5 linked regions of the Sus scrofa genome follow. The protein of the gene in region 3 purifies or fractionates together with the protein of the main gene of each other region. This does not show direct contact. Links are inferred from orthologs where the notes say so. Each region holds a gene or a part of one and is shown on either strand. Other genes may lie near its edges. The genes, in order: KPNA3, PHAX, NCBP2, KPNA2 and KPNA1.

Region 1 (4,580 bases), on a different chromosome or scaffold from region 3:
TATTTTCCTTGTGTGGTAATTGATACTGGTATTCTGTTACAGAAGTGATGACTAAAATTAGTTAAAATACAAATATTAGTCGATTCAAACCTTCATACATTGCTGGTGGGAATGTAAAATAGTTCAGCCTTTTTAGAAAACAGTTTATCAAATGGTTAATCATAGAGTTACCACATGACCCCAGCAGTTCCCCTACTATGTGAAACTAAGAAATCTGAAAGCAGGTCCATATAAAGACTTGTACAGAAATGTTTTCAGCAGCATTACTCATCATAGCCCCCAAATGGAAATAACCCCAGTGTCCATTAGCTGATGAGTAGTAAACAAAATGTGATATACCATAGAATACTACTCAGCAATAAAAAAGAACAAAATGTGATATGCGCCATAATGTAGATGAACTGCAAAATCATTATTCCAAGCGAAAGAATCCAAACTACGTCTTATAAAATTTCATTAATATGAAATGTCCAGAATAGAAAAATCTATAGAGGCAGAAAGAGTAAGTGGTTGCCTAGAACTGGGGGAGAGAGTCTTAGGACTATTGTGGGTATGGGATTTCTTGGGGCAGGGGTGGTGTGATGGAAATGTTGTAAAATTAGATTGTGGTGATGACTACACAACCCTGTATAAATACTAAAAATCATTAAATTATACACTTAAAACAGACATTGTATTGCATGTAAATTATATCTCAGTAAAGCTATTAAAATGAGTCTATTTTAATTTAAACATTAAATAATACAGGTAGTATAGAGATAAACAGCTAAAAGTCCTACAGGTAGTATACAGTTGACTCAAATTTAAGAAAATTTAAGAAAAAGTGATCTAACTTTTTCTTAATTTCATATCTGAAGTGAGTACGATACCAATGTTTTGGAATTTGAATTAACATGTAAGTTATGTAAAGACTAAGTATTATAATGATAAGTTGTCTTGATACATAAAGTAGGCTTGATGTGGGAATACTCAGTTCTTTATAGTTAGTCCCCTATCAGCAATAGGGATCACACTGACTAGAAGTATTATATTCTAAGATTACATGTTCAGGATAGAAACTTTTTTTTAATATGTTATAAGAAAAATTTCATGCTGCTGTTTTCTTTTAATTAATACTATCATAGTAACTTTTAGACCCTCTCAATAGGTCTATTACTTGAATATTATTAGGGGAAATATAGAATTTATTTAGGATAAAGGTATTTGCCATGTTTATTCATTCAGTGAATTATAATTGGGCAGCTGTGGTGTGCCAAACTCTGCTGAAATCTATAAACTCTTCAACATTTTGCCGTATAAATAAGAGGTTTTTTTTTTTATTGTAGATGCCGTACCTCTTTTTCTAAGACTTCTTCATTCACCGCATCAGAATGTTTGTGAACAAGCAGTATGGGCTTTGGGAAATATTATAGGTAAGTTGCATTTAGGTTTGAAAAGACTCCACTTAAGTATCTTAATTAACTTTTTTCCTACATTGGCATAGCCATTACACACTATGTTTCCTCTAATTTTAACGTGGGTTGACTATCTTCTTGCCTCATTAATACTAACTTCAGATGGTACCTCTTTGAAATGGATATGAAATTTGCTATCAGGATTGGTAGGTTAAATTTGTGTTCCCCAAATCAAAATCTGGCGGAACAGCAGTGCTTGATGCCCTTGACTAATGGTGAGGAAACATAGAACATCAGTGTCCCGACATGAGCCATTGCATACATTTCAGACTTTCTCATCCTGAATGTAATTTTTTTTTTAAATACAATTTTCATTTCTGTAGGTGATGGTCCTCAATGTAGAGATTATGTCATATCACTGGGAGTTGTCAAACCTCTTCTGTCCTTCATCAATCCCTCCATTCCCATCACCTTCCTTCGGAACGTCACATGGGTCATTGTCAATCTCTGCAGGAATAAGGACCCCCCACCGCCTATGGAGACAGTTCAGGAGGTAAATGAAGAATTGCAAAGGCCAGATGGTATATTTTCCCTATGTTTATGCTTTAGATTTTCATGCACAGGAAATGAAATAATGCAAACACTGATTCCATTGCAGGTATGAGATTTTTTAAAGTAACGTGTCACACTTAACTTTTGCCTCCTGTGAAATACAAGTTGAGACTTGTGGCACCCGAATAAATGTCAGTCCACCCTAATTCAGGAAAACATAAAAAAATTCAAGCAGAAAAATGCCAAAGAAAATAAAATGTCAACATTTTATTGCTACATTGCATTGTTTTGTTGTTGTTGGCTTTTTTTTTTTCTTTTTCTTTTCTTTTTTAGGGCTGCAGGTGCAGCATATGGAAGTTCCCAGGCTAGGGGTCGAATCAGCTGTAGGTGCTGGCCACAGCCACATCTGCAACCTACACCACGGCTCATAGATCCTTGAGCCACTGAGCGAGGCCAGGGATCAAACCCACATCCTCATGGATACCAGTCAGATTTGTTACCACTGCACCACAACAGGAACGCCACACTGTTGATTTTTAACACTAAAAAAAACAAGGGATTGCTACAGATAAAATGATGAACTTAAATGTTCATGAGTGAGTTTGCCTGAAGTCCAATTGAAATTTCCCTTGATTCCTGACAAAATTAGTGCTCGTGATGTGTGACCTGCTTTGTGTTAAATATACGGATTAAAACAAAATAAAATCTTTTCTATTTACACCTGATTTGTAAATGGATCTAAGTATGTTAAGTTTCAAAAAATCCTGTATAGCCTTTAATCGCTTGACTGTAGAGAATGTTGATTATGAATCTTTAATCTTTTTTTTTTTTTTTTTGGTCTTTTGTCCTTTTAGGGCCATACCCGTGACATATGGAGGGTTCCCAGGCTAGGGGTCCAATCAGAGCGTTACTGCTGACCTGCACCACAGCCACAGCAACGCCAGATGTGAGCCGAGTCTGTGACCTACACCACAGCTCACGGCGATGCCGGATCCTTAACCCACTGAGCAAGGCCAGAGATTGAACATACAAGCTCATGCTTCCTAGTCGGATTCATTTCCACTGCACCACAATGGGAACTTCTGAATCTTTCATCTTTATCGTTTTGACATCTTTTGCCTTCTTGGGCCACCTTTTGCCTTTAAGGGAAGGGTACTTAGTAATTCCTTCCAGTTCCACCCCACCCCCACCCCCCAGATTTAAAGAAAGATCTGTAATGCCTGAATTCAGCAAACTTTATACTGGTCATAATTTTCTTGACTAAATCTGAGGTCTGAAACTTTAATTTGACTCACGTAGCGTCTTAAGATCTTATTTTTAGGAGTTCCCGTTGTGGCTCAGTGGTTAATGAATCCGACTAGGAACCATGAGGTTGCAGGTTCGATCCCTGGTCTTGCTCAGTGGGTTAAGGAGGATCCGGCGTTGCCGCCGTGAGCTGTGGTGTAGGTCGCAGACATGGCTTGGATCTCGCATTGCTGTGGCTCTGGTGTAGGCCGGTGGCTATAGCTCCGATTCAACCCCTAGCCTGGGAACCTCCATATGCCACGGGAGTGGCCCAAAAAAAATGGCAAAAAGACAAAAAAAAAAAAAGATCTTATTTTTACTTTATGCAGGTAAGTGAGACATTGACAGCAGTTTTAAGAATAGCTTTTTAGGAGTTCCCGTCGTGGCGCAGTGGTTAACGAATCCGACTAGGAACCATGAGGTTGCGGGTTCGATCCCTGCCCTTGCTCAGTGGGTTAACAATCTGGCGTTGCCGTGAGTTGTGGTGTAGGTTGCAGACGCGGCTTGGATCCCGAGTTGCTGTGGCTCTGGCGTAGGCCGGTGGCTACAGCTCCGATTCAATCCCTAGCCTAGGAACCTCCTTATGCCGCGGGAGCGGCCCAAGAAATAGCAACAACAACAACAACAACAAAAAAGACAAAAATAAAAATAAATAAATAAATAAATAAAATTAGAAAGAATTAAAAAAAAAAAAAGAATAGCTTTTTAAAAATAGCTGTGCGTATAGTTACATTTTCATTCTTTCCAGTTGGCGTATTTCATATAGAAGATTATTGAAAACAATTATTTTTCCTCTAAGAGACATTAATCTCTGCCAGATTTTAATTAGACATCTGAAATTTGGTTTTGGTTTTTCAGATTGAATTTAGCAGATTTTTATTTTCCCAATAGAGATTCACACAAATTTAATGTTGTTTTTCTTGCCCTGCAAATAATATTTATTGCTTAAAAAAAAAAACAAAAACCACTGTTATTCAGTTTTACAAAGACATCTTCATCAACTCTAGTTGTTACTTGTCTATCTTCTTTCCTCAGATTTTACCAGCATTATGTGTCCTCATATACCATACGGACATAAATGTAAGTAAAGCAGAAGCTTAGATTTGAGATTTTACTCTGGATGGGACTGAAAGGGGTATTTATTCTTAATGCTTTTATTAAATGTCACCATGTATCTTATTAACTTGTCCAGCTTCCACAATGTATAAGTAGTTTTCAGAAACAGGATTGAAGCTAAATTAAGTTTATATATATCTCAAGTGATTTATATAGCAAAAATAATAACTTTAGAGAAATTATCACAGATGTAGTTAGTTATTTGTATCATTATTATTAGTGTTTTGAAGTATC
Region 2 (4,580 bases), on a different chromosome or scaffold from region 3:
GCTACCATTCTACAAAGAGGAAGAGAAGAATTACCTGTGTAGACTCTTCCGATTAACGGCCAAGACAACTTTTAACAATTTATTTTTATTTTTTGGTTACATCCACAGCATGTGGAGGTTCCCTGGGCCAGGGATGGAAACTGAGCTTCATTTGTAACCAGAACCACAGCAGTGACGATGACAGGTCCTTAACCCACTGAGCCACAAGGGAACTGCCAAAGCAACTTTTAGAGTCTTCCCCAAGGAGCTATTAGGATCTACTGTGACCACCCCCAGTTTAACTGCAGTGTCCTCCTCTACTCGCTATACTTTCATTTGCTCGCTTTCTTTCCTCCCAGCATCTGTCACTTTTTAGCACTCCTGAAGATACAACATTTATTCTTTATGGACTATTCCCCTCTCACACCCAACTACAACATAAGCTTCCTGTGTCTAGAACACTGCATCGTACATAGCAATAAATAACTGTATAAGGAAAAACTGCACCAAAAGAAAGTAAAATCAGACTTGTATCTTCCCAACATTCAGTAGATTTCCATTATCTCACTGGTCTTATTATACTTTATATCTGTCTGCACATAGAGCTCCCTTCCTGGCTCTGCGGTTAACGAACCCGACTAGGACCTATGAGGATACGGGTTTGATCCCTGGCCTTGCTCAGTGGGTTAAGGATCTGGTGTTGCCATGAGATGTGGTGCAGGTTGCAGACATGGCTTGCATCCTGTGTTGCTGTGGCTGTGGTGTATGTAGGCTGACAGCTGTAGCTCTGATTCAACCCCTAGCCTGGGAATCTCCATGTGCTACAGGTGCTGCCCTAAAAAGCAAACAAAACAAAACAAAACAAAAAACTATCTGTGCTTTTTACATAGCAAGATTTTTTTTCTGCCCCCAAGAACCAGTTTTCAAGAATTCATGAATTAAATGAACCAAAAATAACGTTTTTATTCATCACTGCTAATTAACTTCTGGGCACTGTGATACGTACTTTATATACATTATCTCATTAAATCCTTACAATAGAAGAACAATCCCATTTTGTAGCTGAGACTGAGTTCTGAGAAGTCAACTAATTTAGCCAAATGTCACATCTAGTAATCTGCACATCCAAAATTCAAAACAAGACACCCCAAACTCCAAACGCCATATTCTCAAAATTTGAGCTTCCAGGTCTCACCCCCCCACCCACCACTTTTTTCTTAAAATTTCAACCCCTACCCTTAATGCATCCTGTGAGAGATTTGTTGCTGACTGCACACTAACAGGCTACAATATATGCATGTTTTTGTAAGGAAAGCATTAACTGCAAAAACTGACTACTGAATTTTTAAACTCAAATTTTTCATTATTAATGAAGTTTTTAAAAAACCCGAAAAAAACTGCAATAATTTATAAATAAGAGACCCAATAGAGACAAGTGCATTTTATTAAAAAAAGATACGAAATAATACAAAATCAGAAACAACGAAGCAATTAGTCTTACCATTATAAAAAGGCCACCATTTTGTTCAACTTCAGCAGTCTCCATCAGAAGTTCAATCGCCTTTTTGTTCCCAATTATCCTCACTACTCGGGCGATCAAATCTTTCTTTGGTTCCTGCAACCTGTTAAGGAGCAAATGAAGTAATAATATTAACTATGTTACTTGTTGTATAAAGTTGAGGACATCTACTTTAGTCTCCTATTTAGTTCCCAGCTAGAATTAACATTCCAATCTCGTAATGGCTGCTTTTCAAAATCTTCACTATTTAACCCTGGAATTACTGATACAGAAACATTCCTGTCTTGGGTCACCCAAGAAAAGAGGAGCCTCAAGGTTCCATCTCAGGTCCGATAACTGGCCTCTTCACTTTGCCTTATTGGATTATGGCAGATTTCAAAAGAAACATGCACACACAGCAAGGGGAATACGAGACGAAAAGCAAGATATAAGCAGTCCACTCGCATCACAACAAATAACAAACGCTTTCGATCATATCACGCTTTTGATTATTATGCCTAGAAGTTAGCTCTCCTAACTGCAGAGATGACCTGGATCTTTAAAATGGATTGGATTTGTCTCTCACAGCCTCCCTGCCTTAAAACAAATGATATAGTTAACATTTACCAAAGGCTTATTATGGGATAAGCACAATCCTAGGAACTATATATATGCATTACATCTCAGCTAATTCTCTCAAGAACCTTACAAAGCAGATACTATTTTCATTTTAGCAATGAGAGGTAAAAAACACAAGGACCCTAAGTAAGCACTAGAGCCCATATTCCATAGAGATGAGGGAGGATTAAAATTACTGAAGTCTTAACGGTTCCCTAATCAGTCCTAACCAGCCATGGCTTCTTTTGTTTCTTTGCTATTGTGGAAAGAGCACTAGACTAGGAACAAAGGGACTAGAGTTTAGTTCCAGGTCTGACACTTACTAAATTTGTGACTTTGAGCAACCACACAACTACTGGGCCTCAGTTTTGTATTTGTAAAGTGAAGGCTTTTGGAGTTCCCGTCGTGGTGCAGCACAAACGAATCCGACTAGGAACTATGAGGTTTCCGGTTTGATCCCTGGCCTTGATCAGTGGGTTAACCAACCGGCGTTGCCGTGAGCCGTGGTGTAGGCCGGCAGCTGTAGCACCGATTAGATCGCTAGCCTGGGAACCTCCTATGCCACAGGTGTGGCCCTAAATAAAGCCAAAAAAAAAAAAAAAAAAAGGTGAAGGCTTTGGTTTACAAAATCTCTAAGTTCCTTTCCAGCATTCAAATTCCAAACTCTCTCAGTACTATAAAAAGCCAGCACTAGGAGTTCTCCTAGCAGCGCAGTGGATTACGGATCTGGCGTTGTCACTGCAGTCGTTCGGGTAGCTGCTGTGGCAAGGGTTCAATCCCTGGCCTGGGAACTTCCACATGATGTGGGGAGTGCCCCCCCAAAAGTAAACAAAATTTCAACTTTTAAAAATACATGAAATGTAAATTTACCACACATCAAACAACTATACTCCTATTTAGCCAAAAGAAATGAACATATATATCCATACATGAGTACATGAAAGTTCCTAACAACATTATTTATGATTACCAAAAAGTTCAATAGCCAATATGGATGTGTGGGTGTATGCGCACACAAATAAACTGTTGATTCCTGCTATAACATGGACGAATTTCAAAAACACTGCACTAAGTGAAATCAGGTAGGCACAAGAGATGACACTGTGATTCCATTAACATGAAATTTCTGAAAAATGCAAACTGATAGATAGCAACAGAAAGTAGATTAGCAGATATGTGGGAATGGGAACAGGAACTAATTTTAAATGGGCTCATAAGTATAAGGGATCTTAGCAGGTAATGGAGATGTTTTCAAATGCTTTATGGTAATGGTTGTACAACTGGTAAAATTACTGAAAAATCAACACTTGAAATAGGTGAATTTTATCAGAAGTACCGTAATATGCCTCAGATGGGGAGACAGGATTAAGACGGCAGAACAGAAGGACTGGAACACAACTTCTCTTCTAAAAACAACAAAATTTACAACCAAATACTGAGCAATCTTCAACCAAACGGACTGGAAACTTTCAAAAAGATATCCTACTCCAGGAGACAAAGAGGAGGCCACATCAAGAGGCAGGAGGGGCGATTACACGATATAAGCAACCCCATACCTCCCGGGTGGGAAGCCCCACAGACTGGAAAGTAACTGTTTCACAGAGACTCACCTACAGGAGTGAGAGTTCTGAGCCCCACATCAAACCCTCACGTGTGGGGATCTGGCACAGGGAGAAATAGCCCCTGGAGCATCTGGCATTGAAGGCCAGTGGGGCTTGTGCGCAGGAGCTCCACGGGACTGGGGGAAACAGAGACCCCACTCTTAAAAGGCGCACACAGACTTCCACGTGCACTGGGTCCCAGGGCAAAGCAAAGTCTCCACGGGAATCTGGGTCTAACCTGACTGCAGTTCTTGGAGGACCTCCTGGGAAAACACGGGTGAATGTGGTTTGTTGTGGGGGAAGGGCACTGGAAGCAAAGCTCTCGGGAATATTCAGCAACTTGCCTTTCTCTGGAGGTGGCCATTTTGGGAAAATCTGGCCCCACCCATCAGCACTGAGAAGTCCCAGAGCAAACAACAATCCCGGTGGGATCAAAGCCCCGCCCATCAGTAAACGGGCTGCCTAAAGACCCCCCCAGCACACAGCCGCCTCTAATCCACCCAGAGACAAAGCCCCACCCACCGGAGGGATAGGAATCAGCTCCACCTACCAGTGGGCGGCATCAGTCCCTCCCATCAGGAAGCCTACAGCAAGCCCTGCCCCCCACCAACTTCAGCCACAAGGGGAGCAGACACCAGAAGGAAGAGAGGCTACAACTCAATTATCTATAATATTCCTCAATGAAGTTGTTTTTTTTTAAAAAAAAGTCATGAATGCTTGATAACACTCCAACATCCTCACTGATTTAAAATCAGTGATGCATTTTTGGGCGTTCCCCCGGTGGAGGAGGCATTAAAGATCCCTGCCCTGGGAACTGGCATAGGACAAAGGCAGGGCAAAAAAAAAAAAAGAGAGACGTGTCTTACTCAAAGAGTTCTATTGCA
Region 3 (4,580 bases):
GCTGTCCCTGCCCACTAATCTTGTCACATTCATTAATCCCATCAATAATAATTTCATCACCTTCTTTAATAAAAAGATGTGGGCTAAAGCCTAGGTGCCTTTGCTTTGTTCTGCGAACACTAGCCTCGTGGTCCCCCACTTTCTAAATGTAAGAGCCTTGTGGTTGTTATACCTCGACGTCCCTCTTCCAGGATTCCCATTTCCCTGCAGCTCAGTGATAACAAACCTGACTAGAATTCATGAGGACACCAGTTCGGATCAGTGGGTTAAGGATCCGGCATTGATGTGAGCTATGGAGTAGGTCACAGACCTGCTTGGATCCTGTGCTGCTATGGCGTAGGCCAGGCAGCTACAGCTCTGATTTGACCCCAGCTCAGGAACTTCCATATTTCCATGTGCTACAGGTGTAGCCCTAAAAAGATAAAACAGACAAAAACAAAACACCAAACAAACAATTCAAGGCACAGAAAATTCAAAAGACATGTTAGATCAGGTCTGGGAAATTTCTCAAACAAAATGACCCAAAAAGGAAATATTAATTAAAAAAAACAAAAACATCAGGAGTTCCCCTTGTGGCTCAGTGGTAACAAACCTGGGTGTCCAAGAGGATGGAGGTTTGATCCCAGGCCTCACTCAGTGAATTAAAGGATCTGGTGTTGCCATGTGAACTATGGTATAGGCTGCAGATACAGCTTGATTTGGCATTGCTGTGGCTGTGGCATAGGCCAGCAGCTGTATCTCCAATTCTACCCCTAGCCTGAGAACTTCCAAAAGCCACAAGTGCAGCCCTAGAAAGCAAAAAGCAAAAAAAAGACTTAATCAACTACAAACAAAGCATGGATTTCAGAACAGAATATAAATGTTACCAGCTTTCCTAATATAAGAATACAGATACACTGGAGGTAAGAGTAGATGAAGGAAGGAGAGGTAGAGATAAGTGTCAGATGCTAATTAGTGAATATTCTCACTTATGTAACCCGCTACACTGCTACACTCGGGCCCACTGCTGGCCGCCATCTATAGACACACAGGAAGGATACTCCACAAAGCAAAACCCACACGCTGTTTTCTTCATTTTATCCAGGCCCATGATGATTTTCTTTATGTCACCACTTTTGCTGAAGAGTTCATAGATTTGTTCTTCAGTTGTATAAAAGGAAAGATTTCCAACATACAATGTACAGCTTTTCTTCAGTAACTTCTCCTGTTCTTCATTGTCACCCTAGAAATTCAAATGGAGAAAAAGCTAAGTAACACAATCTAAGGAGAGCCGTGCTTAAGTAGAATTCCTAAGTATGGGAAAACTGTCATTAATTCTGATTTGGAAATCAGTTTTTCTTAATCATCCCAACTCTCAATCATCCCTTGCCAAGGGTGTTAGATTCTAAGAAGAACTTTTGCAAGGCCCAGACTGCTTTTAGTAGAGGGCCACAGCTTAAGGTTATATACAGCCCTCCTTCTCCAACACAAGTGGTATGATTTTTGCCTGCATTCTCCATATTCTCAGCACTGGATCCTTCTCTAATGGCCCAAGTTTAATTTCAGGACCTTGAACCAATATACTAGAAATGACCTTTTTATTTTCTTTAGTGAAAAATAAATGGTTAGAGATAGGGTATTCCCTATATACTCCTATAGAGAATGTTCAGAGCAACAACTGACTGGATGATTTACATGCTCTTATATATTTTTTGCATTTAGGAGAAAATGTAGTGATCACCAAAAACAACAGATCTTACTATCTTGACAGGCTTCCTAATTTGGAAGACAGGATGAAGCCAAGGACAGGTGTGTAACAATCCTGTCCTGTGTCTGACAATCCTTGGGGACAAAATGGCTTAGCATGGGCTAGACACAGTATCTTACCTACCGTCACAAAAGTCAGTAAGTATGGCTGTCCTTAGACCTTCTCTTCTAGCCTCCACAATGGGGAGGACAAAGGCTGATTAAATAGGAGGTCTAGGAGTTCCCGTCGTGGCGCAGTGGTTAACGAATCCGACTAGGAACCATGAGGTTGCGGGTTCGGTCCCTGCCCTTGCTCAGTGGGTTAACGATTTGGCGTTGCCGTGAGCTATGGTGTAGGTTGCAGACGCGGCTCGGATCCTGCGTTGCTGTGGCTCTGGCGTAGGCTGGTGGCTACAGCTCCGATTGGACCCCTAGCCTGGGAACCTCCATATGCCGCGGAAGCGGCCCAAAGAAATAGCAAAAAGACAAAAAAAAAAAAAAAAATAGAAGGTCTACCAGCTGACCTGCTCTCAGGCCCCTCTGATCCAGGTTAGGGCTCAATCATCAACTATACATCAACTATATTCTAGCTTGGAAAGTAGCTAAGTAGATCCACACTCTTTGCCCCACAGCACTTTCCCAAGAGGCTCCCCTTATTATTCCATATATAATGATAATCCAGTTTCCTTTACTCTGAAAATAAGATTTTGCAGAGTTCCCGTTGTGGCGTGGTGGAAACAATCCAACTAGTAACCATGAGGTTGTGGGTTCGATCCCTAGCCTCACTCAGCAGGTTAAGGATCCAGCTTTGCTGTGAGTAGAGGTATAGGTCGCAGACAAGGCTTGTGTCCTGAGTTGCTGTGGCCTGTGGTGTAGGCCAGCACCTGTAGCTCCAACTCGACGCCTAGCCTGGGAACCTCCATATGCGGCAGGTATGGCCCTAAAAAGAAAAAAAAAAAAAAAAAAAAAGATTTTGCATCCATCTCTGAACGCTTTTAGCACAAGACTCAGAGTAATCTCATTCGGTGATCCCATTCAGTGGTAGACCAAAAACAGGAACCATCTAAACTCATGTCAAAAGGAAAATGATGAAAGATTGTGGTACATCAATAAGTATAAAACTATACAACCCCTAGAAAAATGTATTTCTACTGCAATGATACAGAGCATCTCCAAGATAGGGAGCAAAGTGGGGGGGGGAGGCACAGAACAATGTGAAGGACATGCTCTGAGTTATATTTCTTAGAAGTATAAATGTACCCAGCTACCATACATAAGAGACAGGTAATACGTTTGCCTCTAGGGAGAATCAAGAGACTACAGGTCAGATTGCCATGTATGAAGTCTCATTTACTTCTCAGAGCTGAATGAGGTAGGTCCTAATTTACTATTCTCATTCTGCATGAGGAAAGAGCTAAGTAACTTGTCCAAGTCACACAGCTCATCAGTAGTTGTAGCTGGAATCCAAACCCAGTCTTCAATACCCTATTTCCTTAAAAAGTTGACAGGAATCATTCTATGTTAAAAATAGGTTTTTTCAGGACTTTGAAATGAGAATTAAATAATTTATATTACTACTTTATATTACCGACTTGTTAAAATTATGATCAAGAGGCATATTCCTTTCTTTTCATATAAGTAGTATCCCAACATAGAGCCTACAATTAAGACAACTGTAGTGTACTTATTTAAATTAAGATAGCTGTAGTGTAAGTACTTATTTAAGGTATGATATTGGCCTCAAATTTCCTGTTTCCCTAGCCTACTAACACATTTTAAACATTCTCCACACCTACCCTCTTCTTTATGTGCCCACTCCTTTCCCAGTCACAGGAGAATTTTCTGAATTCTCACAGCCCCTCTCTTTCCATTCATCATTTCTGCTCTAGACTACCTGCCTCCACTGTAAATCCCTACACTTCCACCGTCCTTCCATTTACAATCCTATAAACCCTAGAGGATTATGAACTCTTAGGGTGTGGAAACTCTTCCCTCTCCCTCCAGAGTTTAGCAAAAGGCTTCAGCAACAGTACAATATAAACTTTTCAAATAACCAACAGTTAATAAGTGGCGCCTTCACCCCACCCCCACCTTTTTTGATACTGAAGACCTCACCTTAAAAACCCGCAGCCTCCCCCTTCCCACAGAATCTGCTATGATGTGGGCCAACCGAAAATTTCCCTCAGCAGTTCTCTAATCTTGACAATCAGACACCTAACATGATGGTCCACTCGGAGGGCTCCCTAAAGGTGGAGGCAAGGCTCAACTCTGTCTCCCACCCACCAGGTACAACTCTGTGAGGCCGTTTTACTGCCCAAGGGAATGGATGCGAAACACCAAAGCACAGTTAGGCTGATCTAATTTAAGGTAAATAATTAAAAGCCCCGGTATCTCAGTCAAGAAGGTGCCTTCACACGCTCCACATATCAAAAGAATACCCCTTCCCCTCATCGCAAAGTCACAGTTTGTGAAAATGTGAGCTACCGCTACTACAGCCGCCCATCTGCATCGGCCGGGGAACAGGGAGCAGCTACCAGGGGATGTAAAAGGGAGTTTCAAATTCCCCTCCTAGGAGAGAAAGGGATTTGGTGATAACCAAACGCCCTTTCAGCATCCACTCCCCAGTAGGCACCGAGGCCCGGCTTAGCGAGAATGGGAGACGACACAAAGAGACAAAAGCAAGCCAATTCTCAGCATTCTGGCCCGGGACCTCCCCTTCTCGCGGCCCAGCTTCACTCACCCGGAAGTGCTGGTCCCGGTACTGGCTCAGTTCGACGTAGGAGTCGCTGCGCAGCGCCTTCAGCAGGCCACCCGACATAGTGCAGAGTCCTAGCCGACGACGCTTCCACCCCAAG
Region 4 (5,238 bases), on a different chromosome or scaffold from region 3:
TCGCTTACCACTACACCCACTGAGAGAGGTAAGTGGAAATTCAGTGCATCGTACAACTGACTTGAAGGAACTCTCTCATTTTTCTGAATACAGTAGCCCTTACAGTCATAAATTACTTTCACCTTGAGTCTTCAGCCCAAATCCCCACCTCTGCCACCACAGCTTTTACCTTCTGTGGGGGAAACAGAGCAGTGAAGACTTGGCTCATCACTTCTCCGCTCATCAAAAAAGCAGAGGCTTACAGTACGTTAAAAATGCAGTTGGTTTCCTGGGGCGCTGGAGTCAATACTCCACCCTCCCCCTGCCACTTCTGCTAATGGCACAGCTACCTCTTCCGAGCAGCAAGTGGCTTTCGCAACCCAGACGGCACAGACAGGGATGAAATTAAAAAACAGAACCTACAGGACTTGAATCCCACTCCTTCCCGACTAAACTTTCCCAGGTGATGCCAACGTGCAGCCTTGAAACCACTTTCAGCCTTGAAGTTTGGGAGGAATGAATTGCACTTGTAGCTCCAGGAAAAAATGAAGATGAAATTTAAGATTTTTATCCCATCTTCCTGGCCAGTAAGACTTATGGAGACACTGGCTGAGGGTTTCTGGGAAATTTTACTCGTTCTCCAGTGAAAACTTCTGAAAAAATTGATAGGTGTGAAATGGATGTGAAGTCTGAAAGCGCCATTGGCCATTTTTACCAACCAAAAGGGGAAGCAGTTTAGAACAAAGCAGAATCAATCAGTGCTCGCTTCGGCAGCACATATACTAAAATGGGAAAGATACAGAGATTAGCATGGCCCCTGCGCAAGGATGACACGCAAATTCGTGAAGCGTTCCATAAAAAAAAAACAAAGCAGAATCAAAAGTGGGCAGGAAGTTATCAAGCCCATATCCTTGATGACATGACAAAATGATGTCTGCAACCAGAACATCTTTGGTAGTCATGGTTCAGTTCCCCCTCATCTATAACCTTTAGGAGCCCCAAACTAGAAAGCAACACATAGGAAATGCAAAGTAAAGAAAAGGGTGGAATTTAATCTTTATTTACAGGACACTGCAAGATATGAAATTCCACATAGAAATAAGAACCCTACTGAGAGTAGAAGCTTCATACAGTATGTACAGTTTGGAACTGTTCAAGTATAGTTTCAGTTGTAAAAAGTGCTACAATAACAAACCACATTTAAAAAGAGCTCTTAGTAGAGAAACAGTAAGACCAACTTTTATCAAACATAGTACGCAACAAACAACTTTATGCCTCAGATGTGCAGTCTAAAAGTTGAAGGTCCCAGTAGCGCTGTCCTGAACTTGGAATGTATATCCTTCAGAGGTAGTTTCTGGCACAACATTTTGATCTTCCTCTTCCTGGAGTATTTAAAAACAAAACAATATAAAATGTTTCTAAGAGGCAGATGCCTACAAGTTTGTATTTACTCTTTTTTCTTCTTTTATCTCTAAGCTGAAAACGAAAACCAGTTTACCCATGTCTCCCACCCCCACTTTTGGCAACCACAAATCTGTTCTTGTGTGCATGTTTCTTTTTGGCCATGGCAATGACTGCAGCATTTGGAAGTTCCTGGGCCAGGGATAGAACCTGCACCACAGAAGCACCAATAGAGGATCCTTAACCTGCTTAGCCACAGGGGAACTCCGTGTGTGTGTTTTTAACATCACACATATAAGAGAGATCACCTGGTGGTATTTGTCTAACTCATTTCACTTAGCATAAATACCTACTAGGTATTCACTCCTAAGGTCCTCATTTGCATATTTCACCTTTAATCCTGCATTGTATCTTTTTTTTTTTCCGTCTCTTGTCTTTTTAGGGCTGCACCCTCGGCATATGGAGGTTCCCAGGCTAGAGGTCTAATCGGAGTTGTTGCCAGCAGCCTACGCCAGAGCCATAGCAATGTCAGATCTGAGCTGCGTCTCTGACCTACACCACAGCTCACGGCAACACCAGATCCTTAACCCACTGGGTGAGGTCAGGGATTGAATCTGAAACCTCATGGTTCCTAGTCGGATTCATTTCCACTGCACCAAGATGGGAACTCCCCCCTTTGTTTTGTCTTTTGTAATCCTGCGCCATATTTTCAATATCTGAAAGAGTGGATGGAAAGCTCTGAAACTTGCCAACTCATGAGTGCCTGGGAGGGAAGTTATGAACAGGTTAAGAAATGCTACTACGGCAACAGAAAAGCAGAGATTTTCTTAACCTGTCACTTCAGAAGGCAGCTTATTAGGCCAGAGGCTCACTTCTCTAACGTCTATACAAACTCACTCTCAAGATAGTCTAAGCTCTCTAAGGCTATTCATTTGAAAGTAAATGGGTGACTTTTTAATACCTCAGTTTAAAAAGATGGTATTATCTTCAAGTCAAACATGAGATGAACAAATATGTATGTTATACCCCACTTGAGACTGATATGATATACTGCTATACTGAACAGCGCTCATCTAAAAAGTATGAGGAAAAATATCTTATGGGCTTAACCTTAAATGTGTATTTTTCCAGTTCTTATTGACATTGCTACTCACCTCCACAGAGAAATACTTCTCAATCAAGTTTAATGAAGCTTTGTACACAGACTCATTTTCATGGTTTTGGAGAGCTTCAATTTTGTCCAGACCTCCACATTCTTCAATCATTATACTAAGTTTCTCAGTTTCACCTAGTTTCTCAGCAGCCTGCAAAAAATTCCAAGTTTAGTAGCCTACACTTTGAAAGACCTTTTTTTTTTTTTTTTTTTTTTTTTTTTTTGGTCTTTTTGTCTTTATAAGGCCGCAACTGCAGCACATGGAGGTTCCCAGGCTAGGGGTCTAATGGAGCTGTAGCCGCCGGCCTACACCACAGCCACAGCAACACCAGATCCTTAACCCACTGAGCAAGGCCAGGGATCGAACCCCAAACCTCATGATTCCTAGTTGGATTCATTTCCACTGTGCCATGACGGGAACTCCCTGAAAGTTCTATTTTAATGAAGAAAACAATTTCTATGTTTTAGTGTCCATGTGTATCAGACAGAAATAAACACGTGAGTTTATTTAACAACCCTATGAGAGAGAACTATCTGCATTTTACCTATGTTTTATATTTTTGAAAAATTCAAGCGAATCAGATTTTGCTTCTTAGCAACTACTTCTGTAGCTTTCAGCCACAAAGATCTTAGTATAGTTCTTAACCTTTTCTGTACATCAAAATCACCCAGGCAACTTTAAAAATGACACTATATCCAGGTTCAGTTGGCCTGTGATGGGAATAGGAAATTACTGTTTTGTAAAGACTCCAGATAATCCCAAGGTGTATGTAGTAAGAGTGGAGAATCACTGTCCAAGGGTAAAGATGGCCTGTGGTTTGTAAAAACAAATTCCTCTGACTGGATCATTTGTTGATACCAAGAGAATGGTACGGTGGTCAGATACTTTTCAAAGTCCTCAACTTTTAGGACATACATAAATATTTACAAGTAAAATAACGTATTTGCTTCAAAATAAAAACTTAAGGTAAGTGTGAGTAGGAAAAGAAGCCAAATGTTGCCGACTTATTTATGTTAGGTAATCATATTCTAAACTCAACTTTGATATGTGAAAATTTCCATAATCAAAGTTGTTGAGTAAGACCTAACCACCATTAAATACTGACAAAGTGCCATGTGCCAGCACATGTGGATCACTCAGGGCTTGAAACCAGAAGAAAAATATAACTGACCGGGTCGTTCGAATTTTTTTTTTTCTTTTTGCCTTTTCTAGGGCTGCACCTGCAGCATATGGAGATTCCCAGGCTAGGGGTCTAATAGGAGCTGTAGCCGCCAGCCTACACCAGAGCCACAGCAACGCAGGATCCGAGCCGCGTCTGTGACCTACACCACAGTTCATGGCAACGATGGATCCTTAGCCCACTGAGCGAGCCAAGGATCAAACCCGCAACCTCGTGGTTCCCAGTTGGATTCGTTAACCACCAAGCCACGACAGGAACTCCTGGTTGGTCAAATTTAATTTCATACTGAATTACAGTATGAAATTGGGGAATCAGGAGTTCCTGTCATGGCACAGCAGAAAACAAATCTGACTAGGAACCATAAGGTTTTGGGTTCAATCCCTGGCCTCACTCAGTGGGTTAAAGATCTGGCGTTGCTGTGAGCTGTGTTGTAGGTCGCAGACGCAGCTTGGATCTGATGTTGCTGTGGCTCTGGTGTAGGCCAGTGGCTACAGCTCTGATTCGACCCCCAGCGTGGCAACCTCCATATGCTGCCAGTGCGGCCCTAAAAAGACAAAAGACCAAAAAAAAAAACCAAAAAACAAAAACTGGGGGATTAAGACATCTTGACAAAATAAACAGATATGAATCGTGTCCACATATGTACCTGACCTCAATTCAGTCACATCATGCATTTGTCATTCCTTTTATATCTCTTATAATCCTTGCCAGGTCTTATTTTATCAAGAGTGTGGCTCATATGAAGAGGCTTTCTGATTCTGTGGCCCACTCAGGAAATTTAGCTGCCTCCACCCCCACCTTGCCATCATCTAAATAGTAAACCAGGGAATTCCCACCATGGCTCAGCGGAAACGAACCTGATTAACATCCATGAGGACAAAGGTTTGATCCCTGGCCTCGCTCAGTGGATTAAGGATCTGGCGTTGCCATGAGCTGTGATGGAGGCTGGCAGCTACAGCTCCAATTCGACCCCTAGCCTAAGAACCTCCATATGCCACCGGTGCGGCCCTAAAAAAAGACCAAAAAACAAAAAAAACCCACCAAACCTCTAGTGTCATCACTTTTGAGGCTAAGCTTTGATCCCTGACCTGTGAATTTCTGCATGCCAAGGGTGTGGCCAAAAAAAAAAAAAAGGCAACTTACCTGAAAGATATTAGAAATGGCATCCAGAATAACCAGGATAATTTTGGTATCTTTTGCAGTTAAGAGGTTCATCAATGGTTCTATTATGCCACAGTGGACAAGGTACACGATCTGTTCAACTGTTCCACCACTTGTGTAATTGGTCACAGCCCATACAGCTTCCTTTTGTGTCTTAAAGTCTGCCTAATAAACACAAGAAAACAGGTGTATTTCAGAATGGGCATAAAAATAAGATTCCAAAAGTACTCTTTTAGAAAAATAGTGACTAAAACTACCATCTGACTATTATTTAGCAAAAGACTATAAGTAGGACCTAACATTAGTACATTAAGAACCTTATGAAGTACAGTTCTACCAAGTGGCCTCTGGAAGCAATCCTTT
Region 5 (4,580 bases), about 4.9 Mb from region 3:
TAATGTCCAGGTTTTTGGCTTGGGCAACTATTGGTGCCATTCAATGAGAGAGGAACGTAAATAAGCAGAGGTCCAGATACGCCAGAAAAACAATGAGTTCCCTTGTGGACAGAATAAATTTAAAGTAAATACTAAGAGTTGGAAGACACCTGAGAACAAATTCAGTCCCCTTAATTTTAGAGATTAGAAAAGTGAAGACATTAAATGTCTTTCTTGCCCAAAAGCTATTAGCTGGTTAAGAAAGCACTAAAGAGGGTGTTCCCATCGTGGCTCAGCAGTAACAAACTCGACTGTATCCGTGAGGATGCAGGTTCGATACCTGGCCTCGCTCAGTGGGTTAAGGATCCAGCATTGCCATGAGTTGTAATATAGGTTGTAGACGTGGCTCAGATCTTGTGTTGCTGTGGTTGTAGCACAGGCCAGCAGCTACAGCTCTGACTGGACCCCTAGCCTGGAAACTTCCATATGCCGCAGGTATAGTCCTAAAAAGACAAAAGACAAAAAAAAAAAAAAAAAGAAAGAAAGAAAGAAAAGCACTGAAAGATTAAAACCTAACCCTTTCCATGGGATAATCCCATAAACAGAAAAGAATGAATAAAAGGAGCTTACTAAGGAGAAATAAATGGTCATTGAGGCAAGTGACCCAAAATATTTCAACACCACAGAAGCCTAGGAAAATCATTTTAAAAGATGATGCCAATGTATCTGAGAGATAAGGAAGAAAAAGAGCTAGAACAATCCATTGTGAGTGATGTATCTTGACATAAATGTTGAATGGAGTAGAGGGTGACATTGAGAACAAATAGGGAAGATCCTCCCCACATACGCAAAAAAAAAGGAGGAAACTTTCAGGGAAGATGAGATGAAGCTGGCATGAAAGGATGCTACTAGAGACTTCTGATGCTCACAAGAACCACTTAAAGGTAGAAGTAGTGAGAAACAAACCTAACCAAAATGAACACAATAGTGGAACCCAAATGGGACCATAGGGGAACCCAAAAGTGCTACAAGCAACAGGTCAAGACAAACACAGTGAAAGTACTGAAAGTAACTGCTTAAACCAACATTTTAAACAAACATGAATGAAACAAAGTATCGATTCCCTCCAATAATATGGAATTAAATACTATAACAGAAATATAATCATGGGAGCCAATGCACTACTTATTTCTAAAGAGAAAAAAAAGTTACTGTTTATTCCTACCTGTGTCTGAATATCATCGCCTGTGACAATGTTTCCCACAGCCCGCAAAGCAGGAGAAACGACTTTATAATCATTATGCCTGTAATTATAAAAAGAAACATTATAGTTCTATAGTTTCTTTTCCTTAGGGTTGAAATCCAAAAGAAATAATAATAATAATAAAGAAATCCATTAGAATCTTGGAGCAGAAAGGTACTTATGGTGGTTATTAAGGGAACACTATCATGATGATGAAATGTTCTTTATATCCCTAGGAAAGGCTGTCTTTCCCTTTACTTAGTATTTTTGGGTAAAAACTACAAAACTGTCCCAATAATCTTTCCCAGGTATTCTATCATTTAGATTTCAAGCTTTCCCTCTCATTCTTTAATGTAGGTTTTCATTTCCTCTTTACTTGGACTCTACAGTTGATGAGATAATTGAAAACAATAGTTAACATTTATATAGAACTTTAGTTTCAAAAATCACAATTTTCACAGAAATAAAAAATATGGCAACAGTTGAACTAACTTGAAAACGAAAGCCAGGCTTCATACACTTTGAGCAGTGAACTTGCTACTAAACCTCAACTGACTTACTGGTCTGAAAAACTCCTCCACAAATCTTTTATACATCTGAAGAGAGACATCAGGTTTTGATTTCAGGCTAAATAAGTTACTATCTTTTAAATTTCCTTAAAAATCTTCTATCCCCTTTAAGGAGATTGATAACTCTTCTCAAAACTGCCAGTTTCTTCACATTTAAGAACTGATGACTAAAAATAAAATGGTTAAAATATATGGTATCTAATGACAGAAGAGGACATAAGATTACTTCTCCAATTGTGAATGCTATACTTCTGACTCCTCCAGTACCACACTGCTTTTAATTCACAACAGCATTATATCATTAATCTGTACCCACTCTGTGCCCAGCTGTAGTCCCAGAGTTTTATATTCTGTATATTATACTACCTAATCCATTCCACACATCATCTTTGGGGCAATGCTTTCTTGCATCTACTTAGTACTTAATTAAATGAGACATGGCTTGCAATTGTACCACATCCCTATTACGTTACCACTGTAATTTTTTCTTCTATAGTATTTCCTAAAAATTTGACTAATACAGTCTCAAATTATTTATGCCATCAGTAAATCTTCCACTTCATAAATGAAAGGCATCACAAAGAGATACAGCAAAATAAAATTCAAAGTCTGATACCAGTCTAAGTTTAGCTCTAAATGAGACAAAAGATAAGGAATTACTGTTTTTAATGGCAACAAGCCTTTGGTTATTCAGTGGTTGGACTCAGGTCTTTAAGCATTAGCTAGAAATATAGACCAGAGTTTTCAAAATGTTTCTACTGAAGGGCTGCTAAATAGCAGAAGAGTAAAAGGTTCTTTATAACCCTCAAAGCAATCAGACATCATTTAACATGAATATAAACAAATAAGACAGCAGCCCAAAGCACATTAAGTCAGCATAACATATTAACATTTGAGTATCATTAACTAGGAAATTAATATGAGAGACAAAAGAACAGATACAATTTCTTAAAGATTTCTTACATCAGCAGTTCCACCAGTCTCCTACATACTCCTGCATCAATGACTGCTTGAATTTTATCATTGGGCCCATCTGATAGATAAGACAGAGCCCAGCAGGCATCAGCCAATACATCAGTGTCACTGACAAAGAGCAACCAGGAAAGCACATTCAGACAGGGGGAAACCTGTAAAGGGAAGATGATATGGTTATGGAATTCAACAGACTAAAAGCAAGAAGTGAGGTGGGAAACTCCAGAAGGCAACCTGGCACACACCTGGTGATTTTGGGGATGACTTTTTAGTACTTCTGGAAATGGGAGTAATAAGTGGCCAAGTGACATTTCCATCTTTGGGAGTGCTGTCAATGACCTTGCAATTTACTTTGATGAGGTGATCAGAGCCCAAGGAAAACAATTTTTTTGGGGGGGGTTGTCTTTTTAGGGCCAGACCTGTAGCATATTGAAGTTTCTAGGCTAGGGGTTGAATCAGAGCCGTAGCTGCCGGCCTACGCCACAGCCACAGCAAGGGATCCGAGCTGCACCTGTGACCTATACCACAACTCAGGGCAACACCAGATCCTTAACCCACTGAGCGAGACCAGGGATCAGACCTGTGTTCTCATGGACACTTGTCGGGTTTGTTACCACTGAGCCATGACAGGAACTCCAAGGAAAATAATTTTAAAGAGCAAGTTTTATATATACCAGTTCTCAGAGTGAGACTCCTTGTCAAAACACACTCTTTGTGAACCAGAGGTAGAGGAATTTTCATAAGGGCTAAAGCTAGGAAATTCTGCATTTTAGCTACTTTGTTATGAAGAAAAAAATGCCAGATTTTAAGATTAATTCAGAACTTTTTTTAGAGGCAGTGAAAATTTATTCCAAATTAAAACATGCAACAAAAAAAACTTTTTTTAGAAATAAAATTCTAACATTTTAAATTTTATCAAAAATTATTTCTCATAAGCATAATCCCTACCTTTGCAAATTCTGGAGGTGGACTTTTCCCTCTACAGAGATTAGACAAAGCCCATACTGCATTCCGGGTCATGGTCAGGCGGTTTTGCTTTGAAAATAATCTGTAAGTATGATGATACAATAGTAAATGATATAATGGAAATGAATTATCTAATGGCATAATACAAATATCTATCATTTAATGCTATTGATAAACAGATGTCTTCAAATAGCTCTTCTCCAGAACAATAAAGTTTAATTAATTCTAACACAAGGAACTCAGAATTCTGGCACTGGAATAACAGGATGCCTGATGGCTGATCCAAACAAGTTCATAAGAAAATATCTATAATGAAAAGTAACACTAGGAAATTCAAAGTGATTTCCAACGATGTTCTGCTTTTTCAGGAACTTCTCTTATTTTTATTACTCATAAAAAATAAAAAGAAAGAGACTTACTGCAAAAGAGGAGGAAGAATATTGCAGTCTAAGACATAGTCCCTGCACATGGTACTATCTCCAGCAATGTTGCCAAGGGCCCAGACTGCCTGTGAAAGAATTATTCATTAATGTCAGGCTGCAGAGTTTTTCTCATATAGTAGTTAATCAACATATATTATTCATGGACATTATCTATTAATATCCCTAAGTTCACTCGTCAAATGAAACAGTTGTATTGGTGGAAAAAGATCAGTAATATTATAAAGTATACATGTGAACACTCATGAAAGTAAACTTATTAAAAGGAGGTACGAGTTGTTACACATATTCTTTTATCTTAGAGGACCCCATCCTTAAGTAACATTCCATACAGCTCTTGGAACTTAACAGATTTAAATGGCTTACTCAGCTGATTAAAAATGTATCTTAAGCTTGCTTATTAAAAAAAAC

Evidence for each region.
Region 1: the proteins of NCBP2 (region 3) and KPNA3 purify together in Homo sapiens (co-immunoprecipitation; 3 studies listed by BioGRID and IntAct, with this or other methods). This does not show direct contact. The link is inferred for Sus scrofa from reciprocal best matches to the Homo sapiens genes NCBP2 and KPNA3.
Region 2: the proteins of NCBP2 (region 3) and PHAX purify together in Homo sapiens (affinity purification with mass spectrometry; 5 studies listed by BioGRID and IntAct, with this or other methods). This does not show direct contact. The link is inferred for Sus scrofa from reciprocal best matches to the Homo sapiens genes NCBP2 and PHAX.
Region 4: the proteins of NCBP2 (region 3) and KPNA2 purify together in Homo sapiens (affinity purification with mass spectrometry; 4 studies listed by BioGRID and IntAct, with this or other methods). This does not show direct contact. The link is inferred for Sus scrofa from reciprocal best matches to the Homo sapiens genes NCBP2 and KPNA2.
Region 5: the proteins of NCBP2 (region 3) and KPNA1 purify together in Homo sapiens (affinity purification with mass spectrometry; 3 studies listed by BioGRID and IntAct, with this or other methods). This does not show direct contact. The link is inferred for Sus scrofa from reciprocal best matches to the Homo sapiens genes NCBP2 and KPNA1.

The regions. Positions count from the first base shown.
Region 1 is NC_010453.5:18,010,397-18,014,976, forward strand, and holds part of KPNA3 (importin subunit alpha-3), read left to right. Parts: intron 1-1,325; coding exon 1,326-1,412; intron 1,413-1,777; coding exon 1,778-1,947; intron 1,948-4,265; coding exon 4,266-4,310; intron 4,311-4,580. UniProt on the Homo sapiens protein: Functions in nuclear protein import as an adapter protein for nuclear receptor KPNB1. Binds specifically and directly to substrates containing either a simple or bipartite NLS motif.
Region 2 is NC_010444.4:129,716,298-129,720,877, reverse strand, and holds part of PHAX (phosphorylated adapter RNA export protein), read right to left. Parts: intron 1,602-4,580; coding exon 1,481-1,601; intron 10-1,480; coding exon 1-9. UniProt on the Homo sapiens protein: A phosphoprotein adapter involved in the XPO1-mediated U snRNA export from the nucleus.
Region 3 is NC_010455.5:133,183,042-133,187,621, reverse strand, and holds part of NCBP2 (nuclear cap-binding protein subunit 2), read right to left. Parts: 5' UTR 4,544-4,580; coding exon 4,466-4,543; intron 1,223-4,465; coding exon 1,041-1,222; intron 1-1,040. UniProt on the Homo sapiens protein: Component of the cap-binding complex (CBC), which binds co-transcriptionally to the 5' cap of pre-mRNAs and is involved in various processes such as pre-mRNA splicing, translation regulation, nonsense-mediated mRNA decay, RNA-mediated gene silencing (RNAi) by microRNAs (miRNAs) and mRNA export.
Region 4 is NC_010454.4:14,292,523-14,297,760, reverse strand, and holds the end of KPNA2 (importin subunit alpha-1), read right to left. Parts: intron 5,041-5,238; coding exon 4,858-5,040; intron 2,685-4,857; coding exon 2,535-2,684; intron 1,362-2,534; coding exon 1,269-1,361; 3' UTR 1,012-1,268; downstream 1-1,011.
Region 5 is NC_010455.5:138,082,362-138,086,941, reverse strand, and holds part of KPNA1 (importin subunit alpha-5), read right to left. Parts: intron 4,238-4,580; coding exon 4,149-4,237; intron 3,812-4,148; coding exon 3,712-3,811; intron 2,919-3,711; coding exon 2,755-2,918; intron 1,284-2,754; coding exon 1,205-1,283; intron 1-1,204. UniProt on the Homo sapiens protein: Functions in nuclear protein import as an adapter protein for nuclear receptor KPNB1. Binds specifically and directly to substrates containing either a simple or bipartite NLS motif.